Drosophila melanogaster: one gene and its partners. The protein of the gene in region 3 interacts with the protein of the main gene of each other region in a pairwise test. Each region holds a gene or a part of one and is shown on either strand. Other genes may lie near its edges.

The links.
Region 1: the proteins of Taf3 (region 3) and TwdlQ interact in a two-hybrid assay, tested with the Drosophila melanogaster proteins (one large-scale study listed by BioGRID).
Region 2: the proteins of Taf3 (region 3) and koi interact in a two-hybrid assay, tested with the Drosophila melanogaster proteins (one large-scale study listed by BioGRID).
Region 4: the proteins of Taf3 (region 3) and mri interact in a two-hybrid assay, tested with the Drosophila melanogaster proteins (one large-scale study listed by BioGRID).

The regions. Positions count from the first base shown.
Region 1 is NT_033777.3:26,692,039-26,695,190, reverse strand, and holds TwdlQ (TweedleQ), read left to right. Parts: upstream 1-1,600; 5' UTR 1,601-1,667; coding exon 1,668-1,682; intron 1,683-1,834; coding exon 1,835-2,557; 3' UTR 2,558-2,645; downstream 2,646-3,152.
Region 2 is NT_033778.4:6,809,126-6,817,019, forward strand, and holds the start of koi (klaroid), read left to right. Parts: upstream 1-1,893; 5' UTR 1,894-2,050; intron 2,051-2,662; exon of another isoform or gene 2,663-2,776; 5' UTR 2,777-2,803; coding exon 2,804-2,958; intron 2,959-3,406; exon of another isoform or gene 3,407-3,569; intron 3,570-3,655; coding exon 3,656-3,991; intron 3,992-4,047; coding exon 4,048-4,628; intron 4,629-4,911; coding exon of another isoform or gene 4,912-5,189; exon of another isoform or gene 5,190-5,687; intron 5,688-5,934; coding exon 5,935-7,434; intron 7,435-7,491; coding exon 7,492-7,604; intron 7,605-7,667; coding exon 7,668-7,880; 3' UTR 7,881-7,894. Other genes in the region: CG15237 (uncharacterized protein), read right to left, coding at 92-231, 299-386, 445-573; ubl (ubiquitin like), read right to left, coding at 967-1,010, 1,076-1,214, 1,274-1,312. UniProt on the Drosophila melanogaster protein: Component of the LINC (LInker of Nucleoskeleton and Cytoskeleton) complex involved in the connection between the nuclear lamina and the cytoskeleton. Is required to nuclear migration in eye and to anchor klar in the nuclear membrane.
Region 3 is NC_004353.4:460,818-468,665, reverse strand, and holds the start of Taf3 (TBP-associated factor 3), read left to right. Parts: upstream 1-1,837; 5' UTR 1,838-1,996; coding exon 1,997-2,165; intron 2,166-3,350; coding exon 3,351-3,869; intron 3,870-3,925; coding exon 3,926-5,611; intron 5,612-6,164; coding exon 6,165-6,278; intron 6,279-6,337; coding exon 6,338-7,161; intron 7,162-7,252; exon of another isoform or gene 7,253-7,618; coding exon 7,619-7,848. Other genes in the region: CG33941 (uncharacterized protein), read right to left, coding at 672-815.
Region 4 is NT_037436.4:198,372-202,652, forward strand, and holds mri (mrityu), read left to right. Parts: upstream 1-1,802; 5' UTR 1,803-2,100; coding exon 2,101-2,689; intron 2,690-2,799; coding exon 2,800-2,997; intron 2,998-3,069; coding exon 3,070-3,387; intron 3,388-3,445; coding exon 3,446-3,660; 3' UTR 3,661-3,781; downstream 3,782-4,281. Other genes in the region: rno (rhinoceros), read right to left, coding at 1-216; Gk1 (glycerol kinase 1), read right to left, coding at 3,843-4,058, 4,118-4,281.

The DNA of each region.
Region 1 (3,152 bases), on a different chromosome or scaffold from region 3:
AAGCACCTTTTGCAAGCCTCCGCCTCCTGCTTGGCAACAAATTAAATGAATTCGTCGGTGCCAATGGGCAAAATGATTAAATTAGAATAGCGTTTTGCTCGAGTCCCCCTCGAGGCCGTTTTCAGGATTTCATTTGACCTTTAACAAATTATGCATATTTATAAATGTAAATACCGGCCACTGGCCATTTGGAGGCGAAGCGAAGTTGCCCACGTTTGGATGAGACTGAGGATGATGAGCAGCCGTCGGCAGCTGTGGTCATCCCTGATGTATGACTCCTCATTATGCGCATAAATGGATATTGTTGGGGCCTGGGCGAGAAGCCTGTTGCTCCTGGCCATTGCTCCACGGCCTGGCTGCCTGATGAAATGTTCTGGTGATTTAGGCCTATAAATCTCAGCCGCACAATGCCGTGCACTGAGAGGAAAATCCATATTATAATATATACCAAATTTAAAACGATGTTAAACCACTTTACTATTGATTATATACTACCATGTTATTAAAATAACTGAAACCACTGGGCACATTTTGACATGCAAACTTTGTTAATACTCATCAAATTTGTTGCCGTGTGCATCTTAACTGGTTTATGGTGAATTCAATTGGTAGCTCGTTCGTTCTTGAGACCACCTTATCAATTAGAGCACATCGCATCAGCATCTGCACACACAGAAAACCAAACACCCAACCACCCACAGATAAACACTCTGGAGATTTATGTGAAACAATCAGAACAATTAACTGGCCCAAAATGTGCTACGTCGAAGGAAGTGAGCCGTTTCGCATTTGAATCTGAGTGTGTGCATGTGTCTATTTATTGTTAAATATTGTTTATGCAATGTCTGCGTCTGTGTCTTGCTGTTTCATTTATGCCTAATTGAAGGCATTTGTTGTTGGCTAGAAACCAGGAAACCCAATGCTCGGATAAACAGCAGCAATGTGTGAAGATTACGGACGGATATTTCTTGGCCGGCTAGGGGGATATTCCAATATTGGTTAAGTCCACTGAAACACTCCTTGACGTGCAGCAAAAACCACAATTGCCGTCGATACTCAAGCGATGACTGACGATATTGATGGACTCGACTCTACGATGTGGTTGAAAGCGAGCTTTGAACCGGGTTCATAACCTGCCGCAAAAGATGCAAATCGCAATCGCTCGGCTAATTAATTAATTATGCATATTTTGCATAGTTTTTGTGGAAGTATGCGGCTTTGATGTTCGTCCGCCCAAACACGAGTAGTTCCGCAGATTTATGTAAGACAAGCAACGCCCAAAGGTTGCATGGTTTGGTGAAAAGATAAAAAAAAACAAACTGGTTCCGAGCGGTATCCCCAATTCCCGTAACCCGTAACTTGAGCCGGGGTTTTGTGTCAACGCTTAAAAGCTCATTTATCTCTGATTAACTGTTGCCAATGTGCGAAGTTCGATGGTTGCAGCAACCGAAGATGAAACGGAAACCGATGCGATCCCGATCCCGATAGCCAAGTCAAATCAAAAAACGCTGGCACATTGCAGGCCCATCATTTGTCATATTTCCAATTTCCCATTTCGCGGGCTTGTATAAATATCATCGGAATGCAAACAACAAACGTCAGTTAGCAAACTAAAAGAGTGGTAAACAGATCCTTTGCACTAGACATCAAATATATATCGGCTCAAGATGCGAGGATTTCTGGTGAGAAATTAAAATCAAAGACAAGAACATAAGTGAAACACAAACTAAAGTGAACTTAATTAACAAAGTTTTCAAATCCGTATATCAATTAAGAGTGTATATCCATGTATCATGTAACTACTTTCTAAACAAAATAATTTTCTAAATTCCAGTTACTCTTACTCATTGCTTCCGTTTCGGCAGCAAAATTGGGCTACAATTACCAAGCTGCTGCTGGCGACCGTCGTTTTGCGGGACTCATCGATGCGGAGGCCACAGGATTCAGCTCCACATCTACGCAGCAGCAGCAGCAGCAACAAGCGCAACAGGAGCTTGTGCAGCAGAACACGCAACAACAGATTCCAGCTGCTGCGGATGAGTTCAGCAAGGAGTTCTACACCTACGCTGCACCGGAGGAGGAGTTTGCGGATCAGGAGGCTACCGAGCACATCGCCAGCATGCTGAAACGCAATCTCCGCGTGCTGTTCATCAAGTCGCCGGAACACCAAGGTCTCACCAACGCAGCCCTCCAGTTGGCCAAACAGGCCAGCGAGCAGCGGACGGCCATCTATGTGCTCAGCAAGCAGGCGGATGTGAGTCAGTTGGCGCAGCGCCTGGCCAATGAGAATCAGGCCCAAAGCCCCAAGCCGGAGGTGCACTTCGTCAAGTACCGCACCCCGGAGGATGCGGTGCGTGCCCAGCAGCTCATTCAGCAGCAGTTCGACTCCTTGGGCGGCAGCTCCCGCAGCTCGGACGAGGGTGTCGCCCCCGTTTTGGACTTTAGCTCAGCACCAGCGGCCATAAGCGTCCAGGAGCAGAATGAGGCCCAAAATCAGGTTCAGGCAGTAACTCCTCTCACAAAGTATTTGCCAGCGGCATTGCTGCGCAACAAGTAGTTTGATATCTATATTATTGATTATACTTATTTAAGAGTTAGTTTTATGCATCTAGAAATACAAAGTATAACAACGAAAATAAGCGCCCACAGACTTTTAAATATTACTAGAACCGCCATTCGGAACGAGAAGAGGTTTCAGTATGTGGAAACATATTAACAGCTTAACGAACTGAACACTTGTGATCCACTAAAGTTTGCCCTTTTCGCACTGCTAAATTGAAAGAGAAGGGATGTAAACGGAAATGTCATTGACAGACTTCTAACCAAGAGCAGTGACAGCTTTAACATGAAACCTTAAAGGCGATTATCGTGCAAATACAATATGCAGCAAGGGGCAGGAACCAGCTGTTTCCCTCCCATCCACTTCCTGGCCACTCAAGAGCTCCCTCTTCCCGCCATCCGTCCGCTGAGCATTATGACTGGAGGCCAGAGGGATCCTGTCATGTGCCTTACTTTTCCTTGCCCTGCTTTCCTTTGCGAGGACGACAACGAGACTCTGATTCCTATCTCGCATGTTTCTGTCATATTTCATATTTTAAGTGCCCTCGGGCAGATGGCAACCAGAGCCCACACTCATGAATAATTTAATAATA
Region 2 (7,894 bases), on a different chromosome or scaffold from region 3:
GTTTGTAAAGGGAACAAGACGCGAAAATAAATAATTGTGTATCCACCAGCCGGGCGACATTGTGATGGGCAATCAGGGCACTCCCATTCATTTAGGGGGCTGTGGGTGAGGTCTCGTCGTTCATCTGAATGTCGTCGGCGGAGTAAAAGTCCTGGGTTACCGGGATGACGCGGTCGTTGGTCTCGTCATCCTCCTCATCGTGACTGTCCGTGTCCTCGCTGTCGTCGTTGGCTGCACAAGGGCAATTGGACGTAAAAACGATAATGGTAATCCGAATGCAGTGTCCTGCCGTACTCACCATCCTCGTCGTCGGTCTCAATTCCGGGTATGGTGAGCATTTTGCCCAGCGGCTGCAGATCTGTGCCGGCCGTCTTAAGGGACTCTCGCTGTACGGTTTAAGTTTATAACAATTTATACAGAAAGCGGTGTCTGGAGAGAACTCACCCAGTTGCTCCTTTCATCCTCATAACGCCGCGTCTGCGATTCTTCGTTTACGGAGGCAGGAGCCATGTCCAACCAGTAGCGATTGGCCACGGAGACTTTGAGCGTGGGAAAGAATGGAATCATTGACATTTTCGACGGAATCTTGAATGCGCTGTTTTCAATATTTGTTGTTCTTTCTCTGGAAGCCTTTGATGCGATCTGGCAACGCCGCAACATACGCTGTAAATAATACCAATTTTACAGGGGCGTAGTCGTAGGGGCGCATTAAACGCAAATTACAATATTAATTGTAATTGTAATTCATCAATCTAACTATGTATTTTGTTATTGTCAAGGGAAGTCCGATAACCAAGGGCTTAATACAGCTTACTCAAAAATATATATCTTCACTATTACAAATTGACCTTAAGAATCAGAACATAACCAAAACGAATAATATATATTATTCAAAATCTTTTTATTTATTAAAGAAGCTATAAAAATTGGACAAACTAGACACAGGAACGGTATTCCCTTGCAGTTTTATTGGTAGTAAAGTTCCAGATTCATGCCATCGTGAATTTCATCTAAGAAAGCGAAAAAGAAATGCGGGTAAAGCAAGGCGTTACAAGGACACTAAACAAGGGCTTACAGTCAGATAGGCGAATCGGGTCCTTGAAGATTGTGTACCACTTCTTCAGGACAATCTTCTCGTGCTTTGTGCCCGTTTGTGCCGCGATTAGTTTCTTGAGGTCCCCAATCGTGTCGTCCGGGTTGCACTTGACGCGCACCTGTGGGTTAATCGTTGGTTAACGATGCTTGCAGTTGCCTTGGGTACTTAGCTGCTTACCTTCTTGCCAAGACGATCGTTACACGTTATTTCTATCATATTTTATGGCTTTGCTAGACAAATCACAACAATAAATTCTTGATTTGTTGTGGTATTATTGCTTAGGGTTGTCAAATACCCTTTACCGAATACCGAGTGGTTTGAGGGATCGCTAATTGTCCGCAATGCTATCGATATTTTATTTAATTTTAAATATGTTTAAATAACAATCATATAGAAAGTCGAAGTTAAAGATATCAGAAGTCTGAAAGTATACTTAGAAAGCTCAATTGCTTGTCATGACGCAAATCTATCACATCCTTGTAAAACGATAATATTTGTTAACAAATTTATATTTAAATTTCAGTCTTCTTCTTAGTTATCAAGCCAGAAGTCGAATGTTTCGGCGTTAATAGAAAAATAATGTATGTTTGCATATTTGCACACCTCATTCAAATTATTTTTCTTTGTTGAACAAAAGATAAAAGTGTAAAAATTAAATTTTTTATTCTTGACCCATTATTTCTCTTGGTTAATGAAAACAAATTCCGTTTCTCAACGTTCCCTTTAATAATCCATGTGAACAATCGATAGGCGGCGAAACATCGATGATTGCTAGAATAATCGATGTGTCTTCCCCGTTCATTCGAATTTTTTCGCCGCTCGGAATAGACGTGATTTTGCCGTCGTGACGGTGGAGGCTATTTTTAAAACGGTCGCGGCGCTTGCAAACAAAATTCATATCCAGCTATTCAACGGAGGAATTCATTAGTACGGCAGTACAAGAAATATTACTAAGTATGTCACATATTTGCGGGCAAACTGCCGAAAGCACTGTGCGGAGTTTTTGTTTGTGTGCGTGCGTGCCTCATTTTTACATTCACGTACATACATATGTACATATATGTACGCTATGACGCAGCTGTGGAAAACTTGTTTGGGTTTCCATTTCACCGAATCACGGAATCAACGAATATTTGCGCCTGTGCTGCGAACTCATTTTGGGCAGTAAGCCATTGTATTGATTATCGCGCGTTGTTTGTGGATGGCGTGGTCCGCCGGAGCACCCTGTAGCGTCTACATCCCTACCCCGCTCCCTGGAGTCCGATATCTGTGCGCGAAAGGCCGGGCGGGCGTCGTTTTCGGCTATGTGGCCCAACACCAATGGATCCCCACGGTCACTGGCAGCAATTCGCGATCCGAAATGCTCCGCCCTATTTTTAGACGCGGTCTTTGCGGCCTGCCTACTTACCTACCTCCCCAATGCATTCTAATTAAAAACCGGGCACTGCGCTCATTTCCACACGCATTGCATTGCATAATGCGGCATTAATGTGGCGGGGAAAGCTCGCTTCGGAAAGCACTCGAGCATTGAAGTGAAGAGACCGAATGTTTTCCAGCTGCCCAATTGTAAACAACCCACGCCTAGCACGCACACACACGCACACGCACACACACACAGACTGGTTTTAATGTTTACTCCAAATAAATCGTTGCCCATGTTAATTATTTGTGTCTTCGCAGGGCCCGAGCACTGGAGGGAATCTAATCATGAGCGAAAATACATACCAGATAGAAACGCGTCGGCGGTCGCGTTCCAAGACCCCCTTCCTGAGATCGAGCTGCGACCATGAGAACTGTGAGCACGCCGGAGAGGAGGGGCATGTGCACCACCTCAAAAGGAAATCGGCGGCCCCCAATGTGCAGTAAGTATCTGGGATACTCCCGAAATAGGCCTACGGACGAAGCCCTTTATCGCGAACCCATAACATTATTTTTAGCCCTTATAAGTAGTAAAATTGTAAGCATACAATATGTTTACGGAGTTCGAGTCAATTTCATTTTGAGAATTAGGAGAATTCAGTTTAAACTCTATAATTATTTCCTATTTGGTCCTGAGTCACCTTTTTCTATACTGACCATTGGTTTCAGTAAGCAAGTTGGACTGTAGTAAGACACATCCATAGCGACTGTATGTTTGTATGCCGTGTGCTGCCGCCATGACGTCACCTTTTTGTTATTCACGCTCGCCGCGAATTTGAATTTCGAAGCGGGTAGAAAACGAAGGCAAAGCCGCATACAGGGTGCAGCATCTGGTCGAGCTTCGTTAGTTTTTGGCGCCTATTTCGAGAGCGCCTGGTCGGTCTGATGATCAGTCTTCAAGACTCGATGACGACATTCGGAGTCCAACGTCGGCCGTCAGAAATCGTTTTCACGTTTTAGCCTCTAAATCGAGCATGCTGGGGTGGGCTAACAGTCGTTTGCGCTGAAGGCCAGCGGCGGTTATAAGCATATTTTTGTGTTTTTGTTTTGATACGTTGTACTCGTCGTTTCAAACGATTCCGAGCACGTTATCACGGACTTACTGAAATATTTTTCCCAAATCTTACCTCTTCTCTGCAGAACGATAATAGAGGAGCATATAGTGGAGTCGAGTATCAGTAAGAAAACCCGGGCAAAAGCGTTCGCCCAGCTGACCTCGGACTATTCGAGCGACGACATGACTCCGGATGCCAAACGCAAACAGAACTCGATCACGGCCACAGTCACGTCGATTCTCACCAAGCGATCCGGCGGCGCCACATCGACACCGCGGAACAGAAGCCAGCTGGAGACCACACAAAACACGCTGAATTCCGCCCAGGAAAAGCTAAACCAATCGAACGGTAACCTCAGCTCGGGAAATGTCAGCGATTATCTGGCCTACATCGAGTACAGGGATGCTGGTGAATACTGGAAGTGAGTGAATCATTTCTACACATTTTAAACAGTATACTAATGATGCTATTTTGCAGCAAAACTCCCAAGACGGACTATACCTACTCAGAACTGTCCCCTCACCGACGCCAGTTGGCGCCAGGAATTGTGGCCATGCCCAATATGTCCAGAAAGAGCCTAGAGAACCATAACGATCGAGTCAACTACATGGTCCAGCAGAACCCTGCGCAAGAGGAGTTCATCCGCCGCCGCTACCAGTCCAAGTATACCCAGCAGGTTAACTATGACTCCGCAGATGAACTGGACGCCACATTTGGGCAGCAAAAGCAGAGCTGGTGGCTTATCCGCCTCATCCAACTGGTTGTTAGCAGCATTACCACCGTGTGGAGTCGGGTGACCAATCTCTCGGCCACGGAGACGACTGCCTATCAAAACTACCACGCTAAGCGCCAGCAGAGTCAACAAGTTGGACTTTGGTGGAAAATAGTACAGACCATCGGAGGAGGACTTGCAAGTTTGCTGCGCTACCTGTATGTTTTCATCGGATCGGTGCTGAGTTTGGACACGTGGTTGCTGCGATCCTCGGATGCGGAAAACAAGTCGAAAAAGCGCTTCCTCATATTTCTGCTGATTTTGTTGCCCTTGCTGCTGCTGTCGGGTGAGTAGGATTTAAAGCACCGTCCGATTTTTGATGTAAAGTAAAATATGTTAGAGCGTGTGCCGTGACCTTGTACCGGTTCGAGAATTCATACTACATGCATATAGATCACCTCCAGTCGTTGTATTTATAAACTCGTCTGGTCGTTGGCAGTCGCGTGACGCCATCGATAATTTGTTAGTAAAATCCCGCGGATCAGATTTAAGTGGCCATGTGATGACATATTTTATTTTCCATTCACCGTCTGCCAAGGTTAAACGCCTAATTTGCTTTGCCTTTGCAGGTCTGTTCTATTACATACACCCCAATGAAACTTTCCCACCCAAATCCCTGTCCGAATACACATTCACCCTACCTGAGTTGCCCAAAATCGATGTGAAAGACTACCTGAACCAGGAGCAGTTCGAATCGCTACGCTCTCAGGCCGCCGAGCATGCGGTCCGCGTTCGCGATTGGGCCGACGACTACGTTTTGTACTTGAGAACCATCGGTCAGAACGTGGTCAACAAGGGTCGTCAGTTATTTCAGGGCGATGATAAAGTCTATTATGAGCGTGTGTAGGGAACATCTGCAATGGGCAGGCTACAGCTACCAGATTTAGTGATCTGGTTGGGTGCAACGCCCCTTGCACTTAGACAAATATGAGAAACTTTCTTTATGAACAATATGAGTACAAAATAAAGCATTTGATCCGTTTTTTGTCCGTCTGCTTGACCCGCAGTTTTGCGCACTTACTTTATAGTTTTTCGTCCCGTCATTTACCCACTTCATAGGCAAACCCACCTCTCATACCCCACCATACTAACCGACACAATTCCCAACAAAATGCAACATCACAGGCTGATGGGAGAAGGATAGAGCTCGCCGCTGTTCAAATTGTAAAACTTTCGTAATCGTTAACTTCATTCTTGTCCAACAATTAGGGCCGTTATCCGTCTGGGTTAGTGCCCTAACTAAATCTTACTTGTTGTTAAACAACGTTTAATTGTAATTTGTGCACTGTTTGCTTTGTAATAGTCTATACAAAAATAAATCGCAAACAATTTCATATGAAACATCAAGTACAAAGAAGAGTTGTTTGTTTTATTTGCCATTTGTTGGAAGTTCGCTAAATGGTAAGTAAGATGTAAACAAAGCAATATTAGTTGGCCAGAATCGAACTCTATCCTTCTGCATTTGTGTTGGAATAACCCCAAAAACGAGTTCCCTGTTACCTCAGTCCGGTTGATAATTGAAGTTGGTAGGGACTGTAAATGTAGAAGGATTGCCAACTAATAGTGCTATGTTTAATTTTCTCCTTCCCCAGGATGGTTGCTCTTGCAGGAGGATCAACGTAGTGCTTACGTTCAGCGTGCGGAAGCACTGTTGCCGCTGCCACTATCTATTTTCGGCTCCCTACGTAGTCGATTTTCAAATGCTGGAGCCACCTTGAAAAGTTGGATGGAAGTGCCCACCGTCAGGAGTCCCCAGCGGGAAGCCGAGGCCATTAAGGTAAACATGGCCAGCATTGAACAGAACATCCAGAAAGCCTTGACTGCCGAGGAATACGAAAATATCTTAAACCATGTAAACAGCTACGTGCAGCAGTTGGTCGAGCTGAAAATGCAGCAGCATTCCAAGGAGCTCGCACCGCAACAGATTGAACTCTTTGTTAAGCTGATGAAGGAAAACCTCAAGCAGATTATGTACAAAACGGAGCTAAGCGAAAAGGATTTGTCTGATCTGGCCATAAAACTGAAACTGGAGCTGCAAAGCTCAGGCGGTTGGCAAGATGGAGCGAAACTATCACAAGCTAACTTAGAGGAGATAACCAAGCTAATTAAAGCAGAGGTTCACCTCCACGAATCGCACTACACCATTCAATTGGACAGGATAGACTTTGCATCCCTGCTGGAGCGTATTCTTGCTGCGCCAGCATTGGCAGACTTTGTAGATGCTCGAATAAGTCTTCGGGTGGGAGAGCTCGAGCCAAAGGAGAGTTCCGGTTCCTCAGATGCAGAAGTCCAAATTGAGCGTCTGAACAGGGAAATCGCCTTCATTAAGTTGGCTCTCTCTGACAAGCAAGCGGAGAACGCCGATCTGCACCAATCAATCAGCAATCTGAAGCTCGGCCAAGAGGATTTGCTGGAACGCATACAGCAGCACGAACTTTCCCAGGATAGGCGCTTCCACGGGTTGCTGGCTGAAATAGAAAACAAACTGTCTGCGCTTAACGACTCGCAGTTTGCTCTTCTCAACAAGCAGATCAAGCTATCCCTTGTCGAAATTCTGGGCTTTAAGCAATCCACCGCTGGCGGTTCCGCTGGCCAATTGGATGACTTCGATCTGCAGACCTGGGTACGCAGCATGTTTGTGGCCAAGGACTACCTGGAGCAGCAGCTGCTAGAGCTGAACAAGCGCACCAATAACAACATTCGCGACGAGATTGAGCGTTCGAGCATCCTGCTGATGAGCGACATTAGCCAACGACTCAAACGGGAGATTCTTCTGGTTGTGGAGGCCAAGCATAACGAGAGCACCAAAGCGTTGAAGGGCCATATCCGCGAAGAGGAGGTGCGCCAGATAGTCAAGACGGTGCTAGCTATTTACGATGCCGACAAGACGGGCCTGGTGGACTTCGCCCTGGAGTCGGCGGGCGGCCAAATCCTTTCCACGCGTTGCACTGAGAGCTACCAGACAAAGTCAGCCCAGATATCGGTGTTTGGAATTCCACTCTGGTATCCCACCAACACGCCGCGGGTCGCCATTTCACCCAATGTGCAGCCAGGGGAATGCTGGGCATTCCAAGGGTTTCCCGGATTTCTAGGCAAGTCGCGGGTAAATAGTAATTGCTAAAACAGTCCTTATAGTTTTCTTCCCACAGTGCTAAAGCTCAACTCGTTGGTGTACGTCACTGGATTCACCCTAGAGCACATACCGAAGAGTCTATCCCCCACAGGAAGAATAGAATCAGCTCCTCGCAACTTCACTGTCTGGGTAAGTTTGACTAAGGGTGAAAGGAAGTGGTGCATTTCTAATACGACTTATCCATCAACTCAGGGCTTGGAGCAGGAGAAGGACCAGGAACCCGTATTGTTCGGCGATTACCAGTTTGAGGACAATGGTGCTTCCCTCCAGTACTTTGCCGTTCAAAACCTGGACATCAAACGGCCGTACGAGATCGTCGAACTGCGGATCGAGACGAACCATGGCCATCCCACCTATACATGCCTCTACCGGTTTCGCGTGCACGGCAAGCCGCCGGCCACATAAATCTGTTCAAATCT
Region 3 (7,848 bases):
AATACTTATTTTAAAGGATGGGAAAACGAAAAAAACTAATTTTAAAGGATGGACAAACGATAAAAACTAAGAATACTGATTGGGCAAAAGTTTTTTTTTATAATATTTAGTTTTAAGAGATGGTCAAAATAATAATACCGAGGTTAACTAGAACGTCTCATATTTTCTAAAGTATTCACTTTTTCAAAATTGAAAAGAGTGGCCAAACGTGGGCAAATAAAGACAACAAATGAGCAAACGATTCCAGCTTTTAAATTTCAAAAATTCCATTTTTTCGACTCCAGCTTCTTTGAGCTCGTACATTATGCGCAAAATGAGAAATCTGCGCACTGAAGTGTATTCGTGTTTTTGCTAGTGGTTGATTGATTTTTTGTGACCGTATGAATATTGAGGGTGCGTCGTCGTTGGAGCAAGCGTCGCAACGGCATGAAACAAACTCTTACAGACTCTGTGACTGAGTCTTAATGCTTAATATCAATATTCTAGTTTTCATTGTTCCCGAGATCACAGCGTTCAGATTGATAGTCAGACGGACTAACCAGTTACTCGATAACTGACCGACTGCATATGAAATCTTCAGTATATGTAAGGAAATACGATACCTATACACCTATTATGGTTAACATAGGTGTAAACGTGTATTCGTTGGGAATCAGATTATCCACCCTTACCTGATTCTTAAGAGTTTCGTCAATGTGAATGGTAGACGTCTTCCGAATCATGTCATGAGAATATTTAAAGTTAACGGGTCCTAAGATCCCGCTCTCTATGAAAAAATGTTTTGCTTTATCAATGCTCGAGTTCAATGGTTGCATTTTTTAGTTCTTATTAGATTAAAAAAGGAGTAAAACGTTGGTCAGATCAATGTTGATGGAGATCTTCTTACTCATTTATACTGAGTATTTCAATAACTAGCTGAAAAGTTTAAAGGATTTGAGCTTTAAGTAGAATAAAACTTTTTATTAGACTTACACATATACCCAACACATGCAAATGTTCATATAGTTGTTTTATTTGTTAATTTTTATATTTTACATTATTACAAATACAAAATATTAAGTGCCGAAGATCTGTCGCACGCTTCTTTGTGTGAATACTCGACTAGAACATATATGGGAAACAATACCTAACCCAATAAATGTCTTAAGATATAAGTTTCTTCTAAACTGATCGAAAATATAACTAGTATTCTATCAGTAGTTTTGTGTCATTATACATTATACCCTCTTTCCACTAAATTACCTGCATATATACACATGTTTGGGATATAGTTCACATGATATTTTTGAAGCGATTTTAGGCTTAATGTTATTTTATTAAATTTATATTTATATATATTATTTATATTTATAATTATATTATTATTTATTCGGTAATTTCATAGCTGTTCTGGGCATTACTTTCTTTCCACAATAAACATAACATTAGATGCTGTTAAAATTTGTAGTAAGTAATCGTAGTAATAATAGTAATAGTAGTAGTAAAACTAAAACATTTTTACGGGTAACAACACAAGACTCTCGTTTCACTCTGCATTCAAGCGCTCTATTATTAAACAAGCTCTAATTATATTTCCATCGTTCAATATCTATTTTAAAGAATAGAAGGATTAGAAAACTTTTTCGTCTTATTTTCAAAATTTGTGTCTTATTCGAACACTAACAGCGAACATACCGAAAGCAAACCTTTTATCTGCCCTTATAACCACTTTCAAACCACATAAAAAATTGCAGTTTGTTTATGTTGGTCAATCAATTGAATTTGATTGAACCCCATGATTACCACTTTTGGCATACCCCAAATATCGATATATTTCCCATCAAAGGCAAAATCGATAAGTTATCGTTAACTAAACATCCACAGATTGTAGTTCGTCTAATAAAGGTGTAGACACCAAGTCAATTAATTTTAATAACAAGAGGAAGTTCGTGGGACGGTTAAACCTATTCACAGCATTTCCAAGGTTTTCTAAAGAAGGTGTACCTCATGAAAGAACATGATGGCAGACAGATACGCTTCAGATTTGGCCCTTGTTGTCGTTGCGCAGATAACGCAAACTATTGGTTACAGCTGCACTCTAAGTGCACCCTTGGAGTTGTTGCAAGACATATTGCAGAAGTTTGTACAGGAGTTCGCTCGAGACATGCATAGACATATGGAACACGGTAAGTGGTATAGACCCTCAAATCAACGGAACCGATCATGAAATACAACAAAGCCTGAGTAGTTATAGTCGTTACTTGTAGAATAAGAGATTCAATAAAAAGTATGTGACATATATGTACATGTACATAAATGTATAACTTATCATCCCTGCAGTTCCATCAGACTATCATTAATAAATCATTATTTATCATTAAAACAATTTTGTTTGGAGTTAGGGCATTTTGCTTTCAGTTGCGTTAGAATACCGGTCAACCTGTCCGTTTAACCTTAAAGTAAAATATATTAGTATAATGTGTACAGAAATGTATTACGAAAAATGTACATCGCTTCTGCGAGTAGTACGTGTTGTTGCGTGTAAAATGAATCCATTGCCATTGGAATTTCCTGATTAAGCTCGCGCCTGCTACTCGCATAAATCTAGTCCCAGTTATCCGCGAAAAAGGAAGCGTGCCTCTTAGAAAAGTAATCTTTTAATTTATTTCTTTCTTTTATTGTTATTTCCCTTTTCCTCGCCCAGTCCCTTTCACCTACATCAGTATATAATTTCTCTAGTTCCGATGCGCATTAAAAATTTAAAGTTTCTTACGAAACTTATGTGCTCGGCGACTTAGAGCGTCAGCTTAGCATTCGGCTGGAAATAAAAGATCCATAATTTATTGCTGATTCCCTGCTTGTGGCTGTGCAGCCAAAGCAGTTGGTACTGTGGGCGAAACCGATGATCTTGGGATGTTTTTAAGGAGCGATGAATTGTGGGACTGCCGGGGTCTCGATTGGGGATTATGAAACCTCAATAGGCATGTAGATTGTATTTTTTGCAAATTATTATTTCATTAATTGTCTTGTAAACACCAAAAAAAAAAAAACAATAAATCTTTGATTTATATATATCTTAGATTAAGATATATCTTAGATTAAGATATATTTTAGATTAAGATATATCTTAGATTAAGATATATCTTCCTTGTAACCACCGGAACAGAAATAAAAATAAATAGTTGAGGAACTCGACTAAAGCGTTCTCTTATATTTTCTTTTTAATTTTGCTTGGTATGTTACTTAATAACGTTATTTATATGAGTTCAAAAAAATCTTATTAAAACCAAACAAAAAATCAAAAATGCTTTGTTTATTTGGATAAAATTTATAAAAATATTAATTGACAAGTATATATATTACTAATTTAGCAAATCGGATAGAGCCGAACCTTAAGGATGCACGCTTAAGTATAAAAAATCTCAGCATCAATGTTCAAGAACTATTGGACTACATAGGTAATGTCGAGCCTGTTGGATTCATCCGGGATGTACCACAGTTTCCCATTGGAAAATCTGTAAACATGAACTTCCTTAAGCCTGGAAGCGCTGAAACTCTAACGCGACCTGTCTACATATTTGAATACTTGCCACCAATGCAGGACCCCGAACTTCGTGAAATTCCAGCCGATGTTCAAAAGGAATTTTCGGAAAAGCAAGAGTTTTGTTCAAAAGCAGAGTATAGTTCAACAAACGCAGCTGATAAGTTAGGCGCCAAGCACATTGATTCTATCTCTCCTAATACTGTGATAAATTTCCGGTCGAATGCCTTTGAATTGGACGTTGGGAGCTCAGTCCGCGAAATGAGCAGCGTGGTAATGACAACAGGGGGATTCATAAGTCCAGCTATTGAAGGCAAGCTCCCCGAAGATATCATACCGGATATAGTTGGTACGACCTATCCTTATACCACAGCTTAATAAATTTTCATGTATCGGTGTTTATAGAAAAATTTTTAGGTTTGGATGCACCCTTTTCACCGACGATAATTGTAAATTCGTTACAAAAATCTCCACAACTGGCGCTTTCTGACAGAGACAAAACAGTAAATCCACGAAAAATCATTCCCTCAGAAACTAAAATCTTCAAACAAAATGCTGCATTATTGACAAGTGGACATTCAGAGTCTTCAATAATATATGCGTCTAACAACCATACGATGCTAACTGTTACAACACCTAAGAAGAATAGAAAACAGAAACATGATTTAATATGCGAACCCGGTCAAAGCGAACTTCTAACTAATCCGTTTGAAAAAGCTCAGGAAAAGTCACAGAGAAAAGCTTTAAAAATGTATAAACAAACCTCAAAGAACCAAAGAGACAGCTCAATTAATCAAATACAAAACATGAAAAAGTTAAAAAAAAAATTTAACCGCGGATCCTTCGATCCAAATAAAAAACATTTAGAAAAAATATTTAAGAAGCAGTCCAAACTTAAGCAAAATGATCTTCAACTGGACATCGACGAAAAACACTTTTTGCAGAATTCTCAAACTACGAGCGGCCTTGCCATAAAAGCTAACTCAAATGAAAATGCTTTACAAGCTGATATCCCTAGTCAGCCGCCAACAGTAACAAGCCAGATTGAAAATAATTTTCGAAATTCAATTTATCCAGTGCAGCCATCTGTAATTCAACAAACGCAAGTGCTATTGGCAGAAAAAAAAAGTGGATCAGAACCAGAACGAAGTAAATTGGACATTTTTAAGAAAATTTCTAAGCCACGTACTCCACGTCCAGATATTGGGGCGACTTTAGTACCTCCTGGAACCGGGGTATCTGTATTTGGAAGCACAATGACCCCTTCAGCATTAATTAGTCTTCCATCGGGGACTACTATAACTCCTACACCTTCACTTGGTCTAAATTCTGAAAACAAAAACGTTCCGAGTATGAAAATCAACCCTTGCAATATATTCGATGGAACTATACCTTTAACTAAAGCAGGCGTTGAAATGTCAATTATTGATTCGCCAAAGCCAAAAAAGCGAGGTCGCAAACCTGGAGGAAAAAATGTAATAAAACAAACAAATGTTGTATCGCAACCTTTAATTAATAAGGTCGAACGGAAAAAGTCAAGCCAAGCTATTACACTGCCTCTATCATCATCTCCAATGATAATAACCCAAAGTTCTTTAAACGTCTCCCCGCCAACAGAACCTCTCAACTTGTGTAATACCGAACAGCCCTCGAATAATTTTTTGTCAAACCTGTATGCAAAAGAAAAAAAGGACAGAAAAAAGTACAAATCATTACCAGAAAATGTAATGCAATTAGACAAGAGCTGTTCTCCTGAAAAGGCATCAACACTACATAATTCTATTCGACCCACAAAACAAAATAATGATGTACAATGTTCAGATAAATTTGTGACTATATCCAATGCTTTGTCAAATGCATCAATTTACCCTGGAATTCAAACAGGAATGGTTCCGTTGCTTCCTTTATTGCAATTTCCACCACGACCTGGTCTTATTCCTACTGGACCTGGGCTTTTTCCTGCAGTCACTGGTTTAGTTGGCTTCGGGAATCACGGTAACAGAATACCTATTTCGCCGTTCATAGATTATCCTGGACCAGAAGAATCAGTTGCGGATACTGTTCGATGTCCACCAATTAAGGATTCTCCTGGTACGTCAAATGAGTTATTTTTATACGCATTGCTCGTAGTATATATACGTAGTATATATTTTCGTGACCAGGATCAATAGCCGAGTGGATCTGATCCTGTCCTGTCCGTCCGTATGAACGTCGAGATCTCATGAACTATAAAAAGCTAGTAGGTTGAGATTAAGCATAAAGATTCTAGAGACATAAACCCAGCTGAAGTTTGTTGACCCAAACTTTACTTTACCATACCAGTTCGAGTATCACAGCTCGAAGAATATATTGCTTACATAAAAGTCTCGGCAATATCTTAATTCATTACAGCAAAAATACTAATCTGAAACTAATCATTGAACCGTTGAATGTAGAAAATAGGTATAGGTACACACTCAAGAAGTGGTATTGGGAAGCTTCTAGATGGGTTAGTATGAAATATTTGCGTTTGTCATAAACTAGATATTTGGAGGAGCTCAAATTTTTTTTTTATATTGACAATACGTACCTACCTACAATATGTGAATTATTTGTCGACCAAAATATTTAAATATTTATAATGATTAGAAAAAATAATTTTTAGTTACTGATTCTGATCAATTTCTGAGCCGATCTTCCACGCAAACTGACTTGCAAATGGATCGAAACTACTGCAATGTTGCTCCATTAGTACCTGACTCAATGAAATTCGCCGAGTGTAAGTTTAACGGTAAATATATTTGTAATTTAAAAATAACTTATTACTTATATCTGTAGGTAAAAGCGTATCTTGTGCCAGCACAATATTGGAAAACCCATCTGCACAGGCTACAAGCAAAATAAACACGAAACCGCTTTTGGAGGCTTCTGGAAATCCTGATGATCCAATAGAGGTTTCAGATGATTCAGATGAATCAATGCACAACAGGCAGATGGTTCAAAGAAAAACCCCAATATCATCACCAACTTATGTTAAAACCAGCTTCGCAGAACTAAATCCCTCCTCGTTTACGTCAGCTGCATCTAATGGTGAAGAAAAATCCAAAATGGATCTAAGGAATATTGTGTCTCTAAGCTCTAACGAACCACTTAAAAAATTTAAAAAACTTGTTAAACAGAGTTTTCCCGATGTAAAAAGCGTACCCCACACGCCAGCTTCACATTCATCATTTCCACAATTTAACTTGCCTAATTTTATGGGAGGTGACAAATTCAGTTTAGCTGGGGGAGCAGATCTTATTCCTCTGTCGAGAGTGAGTGATTCGGAATATTCCTCCAAAATAGTACCATTCAGTAGCTTAGGTGGAACCATACCGAATCAAATCAAAATTTCAGAAGAGCACAATATTTTTTCTACCTTTTCTAACTACGAAGATATTACAATAACACCAACTGGATTAACGTCGTTGGAACCGAAAATGCGGAAACATCACAAAAAGCTAAAAAAGGTTAAAGAAGGGAAAAATAAAAAAAAGAAAGAGAAAAAGGACAAATCAAAGAAAGCGGATCAGATTGGCTTACCATCTTTCAAATCCGACCGGAAAATAAAGGCCAATGATAAAAGGCAAAAAAAAGAAAAGAAAAAGGATAAAGATAAGCAGGTTTGTGTCAATTCTTTATTTATAAAAAAATAGGTGTTCGTGTTGTGGTATTTGGATCAGATATGTAGATACGCCGGAGCTGATAAGCAACCTTTGCGATAAGTACGTACACAAACTCATTTGAAAACAGCAAGTTATGTGGGAAACATTTTTAAAATCATGAATTCTGTGAACATATTCCGTATAATAACATTAAATTATGCATTATGCATTATACATTATACATTATGTTCCAAATTTGTATTAATACTTATATAGACTGTTGTGACTAATTATAACATCGAAGCCTACAGCTTGGTATAGGTACAAAAACATCTTAATCCTACATAAACATGTAAAGCAGCCAAATCTTTTAAAGTTATATTTTTAGTTCTTACAAATTTTATTTTAGTCTATACACATATCTCAGCAAAATCTTTTAAAGTTAAATTTATAGTTTAATCAATTCTTATTTTAGATTTTAGTCCATATACCAGATGACACAGAAGAATTTGACAAGGTGCCTTTAGCTAACAACGATGAACCTGTATTGAAATCAAGTTCCATGACAATAAATCCATCGTTAGGTGCCGCCACAAGTGGAATATCTCCAAATCAAATACCAAAACTAACACTAAAACTTAGTGGAAAATCTACATTATTTTCGTCTTCAGAAAAGGAGATGACAGATGCAGGGAAACTAAAGCA
Region 4 (4,281 bases), on a different chromosome or scaffold from region 3:
GCACAAAGGCAGAACTGGCACACGCTCCGATCCTGTAGCTGGACCCGATCCAGTCACTTCAGCTACTGCTGCCGTAGTGGCTCCATTAGGTGGCCTACCTTTGCGCCGCTTGGTGGGCGGCGGCTGCGGCTCAACATCCTTGCGCTGATGCTGTTGCGGCGGCGGATGGTGCGACTGGTGATGCTGCTGATTACCGCGCTTACCTCTTTGTGACATTTTTCATTGGTGTTGATTGGATATTTGTGTGTTTTTGCTTCGATTGGTACCTTGTCCCTTGTGTCTTGTGCTTGTTAGAGAACGGGTTCTTTGCTGCAAGACCTAGAAGTAAGAAGGCAAAAGCAGCTTCAATACGTATTTCACGCGATTTATTTACTAACCAAATTTACTTACTACATGCTTAAGGCCACAGTTGGCGACACCACACCGGCTGCTGCTGCTGCGCTCTCCTGGATGTGGTGCGGTCGTGATTCTTGGTGGTCCACCCTTTGTGCCCCGTGGACATGGACGCCGCTGCTGCCCCAGCCCTAATATCCAGTAGCGACGCCACTTTGCAGTCCTGTGTGCTCCGCACTTCTCCACGGGCGAGTTAGTCCACTTCCACTGCCACCTTCCGCTTGCTGCCTTTTGTTATTGTTCGTTGTTTATCCACAGACTTTTGCAAGTTTTTCTTTGGCGTTTGGCTCACTGGTTTGGATTCTCGACGAGCATTCGCTAGTCTGGTGGGAGAGAAGGCATATGTTTGTGGGTTATTCGCTTATATTAGGAGCGTTCCCAGTAAGTGTCCACATTTTCTATGCTTTCCGAAAATACACAAAAAATATAGAAAAACGTTCAAGCTGCCAATAGGTGACTGGTGCAAAACCCACAGGCGCCCTCCCGCTCGCACATAGCACGCTCGTTTAAGGGCGCGCTTACTATGCGCGTGAGTGCAAGCAGGAGGCAAGCAGGTGGCGTTCGTGTTGCATCCGCCAGCTTATACACGGCACCCAGCATACCCCTCCGACACTTCACTACTCAGAAGCAATCAAAGTTTTTGCACTTTTTTTTACACTTTTATTATAACAACTTATTTGTTATTGCTATCCGCAAACCTAGACAGCCACTCTGCTCGTCGCTAGCGCTTCCGCACGCGACACGCCCACTCAGGGCGCCACTTTCGCACTGCCCATTCTTGGGGGAGTTGGGATTTTGTTATATATTTTACATTTGGGTTTTTTGCCGCCGCAGACACACACGCCAAGCACTTGTTACTGACCGAAGACCGCTCACAGTCTTCGCATTTCGTGAAGCGTCCGTATCAAACTCACGTTTCCCAAAATCGCATTTGCGTTCGCAGGAATTACAATTCTTTTGATTATTTATTTTATTTTTGAGCAAAAATTATTTTTCTCAGATCGCCATGATGAACGGTTGCAAATTTAAACTATCGAGTGCATTTAGTCGGTGGTCGGTATCGATACACAGCTTGGGTATATACAGAGTTGCATTCGGCCCAACGCTGTATTTTGTTTTAACAACATTTAATTAATTTCCACAGAATTTTCATATTAATTTGTATTTGAAAAAAAAAGTTATTTCCATTAAGTTAAGATATGTTAATTAAGAATTTTCTTATTATTACCTCTAAATATTATAGATTTTCTTAACTTAATAGAAGTTAATAATTATGTAACAAACAATGTCGAAATGATGAAATTACAATCTTTTTATTTTTTTAGAGAGGAATTTTTTATTCGTTAAAAAAAACCCGATAAGCTGAAAACAAACATCGCGATTGAAGATAAATATCGGTTAAAAATATGTTATTGTGATTACAGAGGAAAACTATCGACTGAGCGCACCCAGGAGCCCATCTCCAGCACCAACAAGAAAAAATATGTATATTTATAACTATATGTAAAAAGGAAAAAGTCGCGTCGCACAAAGGTAACGTGAATACTATTTAATCGGACCTCTGATGCAGCGATAAGCAGGCTTTTTTTCAACGGAGCCTCGCTAATTTGACCGCCCTCTGCCAGATTGTCTTTGTCTCTCTCGAAAAGTCGGTGGAACGGTGTTGTACTGGAATATTTGAAGAGTGGCTCATCAAACGCAACAAACATGTCAAACACTCCAAGTCTGAACAGTAGTAGTAGCAATATCAGTAGCAAGGCGCCCCTTGCCCAGAAGCAGGACACGTACAGTAGCGACAGCAGCGAGGAAGTTCTCGAAACAGCCGAGGAGCGGAGGAGGCGCATCCTGAAGGAGCGCAGCCGGCTGAACCGTCCGCAGCACAATATGTCAGGCGGAGGTGCTGTGCCCAAGCACGACATAAAATCCCCTTGCGGAGCATCTCCCAGCTGCCAGGCAACTGGTTCCGGAATGGGCCGCCTGCCGCTCCCTCCCGAAAGGATCACCATGCTGGTGGACGGTGTGCGCTTCACGGTGGAGCAATCACTGCTTACAGCACATCCCACCACAATGCTTGGCACGATGTTCGGCTCCGGCTTCCAGTTCGCTCATACCAACGAGCGCGGCGAGTACGACGTTGCCGACGGCATTTCGCACTTAGTGTTCAGAGCCATTCTGGAGTACTACAAAAGCGGTGTTATCCGCTGCCCGCCCACTGTTTCGGTACCGGAACTAAAAGAAGCCTGTGATTATCTGCTCATTCCCTTCGACGCAACCACGGTGCGCTGCCAGAACCTAAGTGAGTATAACGCGAACTATTCCTGCCAGGGCGAACCTTAGTTGTGGCCACCTCTGCTTGTTTTCCGTCTCTTTCCTTGTAACATGCCCTCTGTTATGTTTGACATAAAGGAGGCCTTCTCCACGAGCTTAGCAACGAAGGAGCGCGACAACAATTTGAACTCTTTCTTGAGGACCTAATTCTGCCCCTCATGGTGGCCTCGGCGCAGCGCGGGGATCGAGAGTGTCACGTTGTGGTGCTCCTTGAAGACGATATGGTCGAGTGGGATGAAGAGTTTCCGCCTCAGATGGGCGAGGAGTATTGTCAGAGTGAGTGTATTTAAAAAATGTGTTTGCATTAGTATCACGGAAGTGGAAGCAACACTAACATTTCTAACGCAGCCGTGCACAGCACTGCCATGCACCGATTCTTCAAGTACATCGAGAACCGCGATGTGGCCAAACAGGTGATGAAGGATCGCGGTCTGAAGAAGATACGCTGTGGCATAGAGGGATACCCCACCCACAAAGAGAAGATCCGAAGGCGTCCCGGTGGACGGGCTGAAGTCATCTACAGCTATGTGCAGCGACCTTTCATCCACATGTCCTGGGAGAAGGAGGAAGCAAAGAGTCGCCATGTTGATTTCCAATGTGTAAAATCCAAGTCTGTAACGAATCTAGCGGAAGCAAATGCAGATCCGCCACTGGAATTGGACGCAAGTGCGTAAGGCTCGAAACGGAGAGTAACAGCTCCCTTAAAGCCCAAATTCGTTTTCAGGTGGAAATCCGATTCCCCCTATAGCAGTGGCTAATCCGCATCCCAATAACGCTGAGCTCGCTGCCGGTATGGCCGTCGCACCCGCAGCTATAGGCGTGGCTGGTCCAGCAGTCGTGGTAGCCGTCGACGAGGCGGCCGGGGGCGTTGTAATGCTCAACGAGTTGGACCAGGCAGCGATCGCTGTTGCCGTCGGAATAGTTGATGAAAATATGTAGATCAACTGACCGGCTGGTAGTCGGAACACACTGCCAGAGCATCACAGCGCACAGAAAAACACTTTACGTTTTTAATTAACATTTTTATATGTATATGTAATAAATGGAAATTTCGAATACGAAAAACCAAGCAATTGATTTACGAATAGAAGAACATGAACGTTACCAGACATTAGCTGTGATCACGCTCCGTCAAAGGCCTCCCGTTCGCCCTGTGGAAGCGTCGAAGTCTCCCAGTTCAGTGAACGATCGATAGCCATTTTCCACTTTTGGTAGCGCAGGTTGCGATCGGTGGCACTGATCGATGGCTTTATGGCTTCTCGGGGGCCAGATTTAGAGAGTGGAGCCTCCATTTGGTATCGGTTTTCAACGGCTTTGTAGGCTGCCATTGCAGCTCCCTAAAGCATTTTTGAAGCATTATTGAAGCTGCATTTACATCACAAGTTAAAGTACTAACCAGCGCTGTTGTCTCTGCGATCTTCGCCCGGAGTACTTGAATTCCTACTAGGTCGGATTGAAGCTGCAGGAACAGATTATTCACAGTCATGCCCCCGTCTACCATAAGCTTGGCCAGTGGAATCTTGCAGTCCTTGTGCATCGAATCGAGAATATCACGGACCT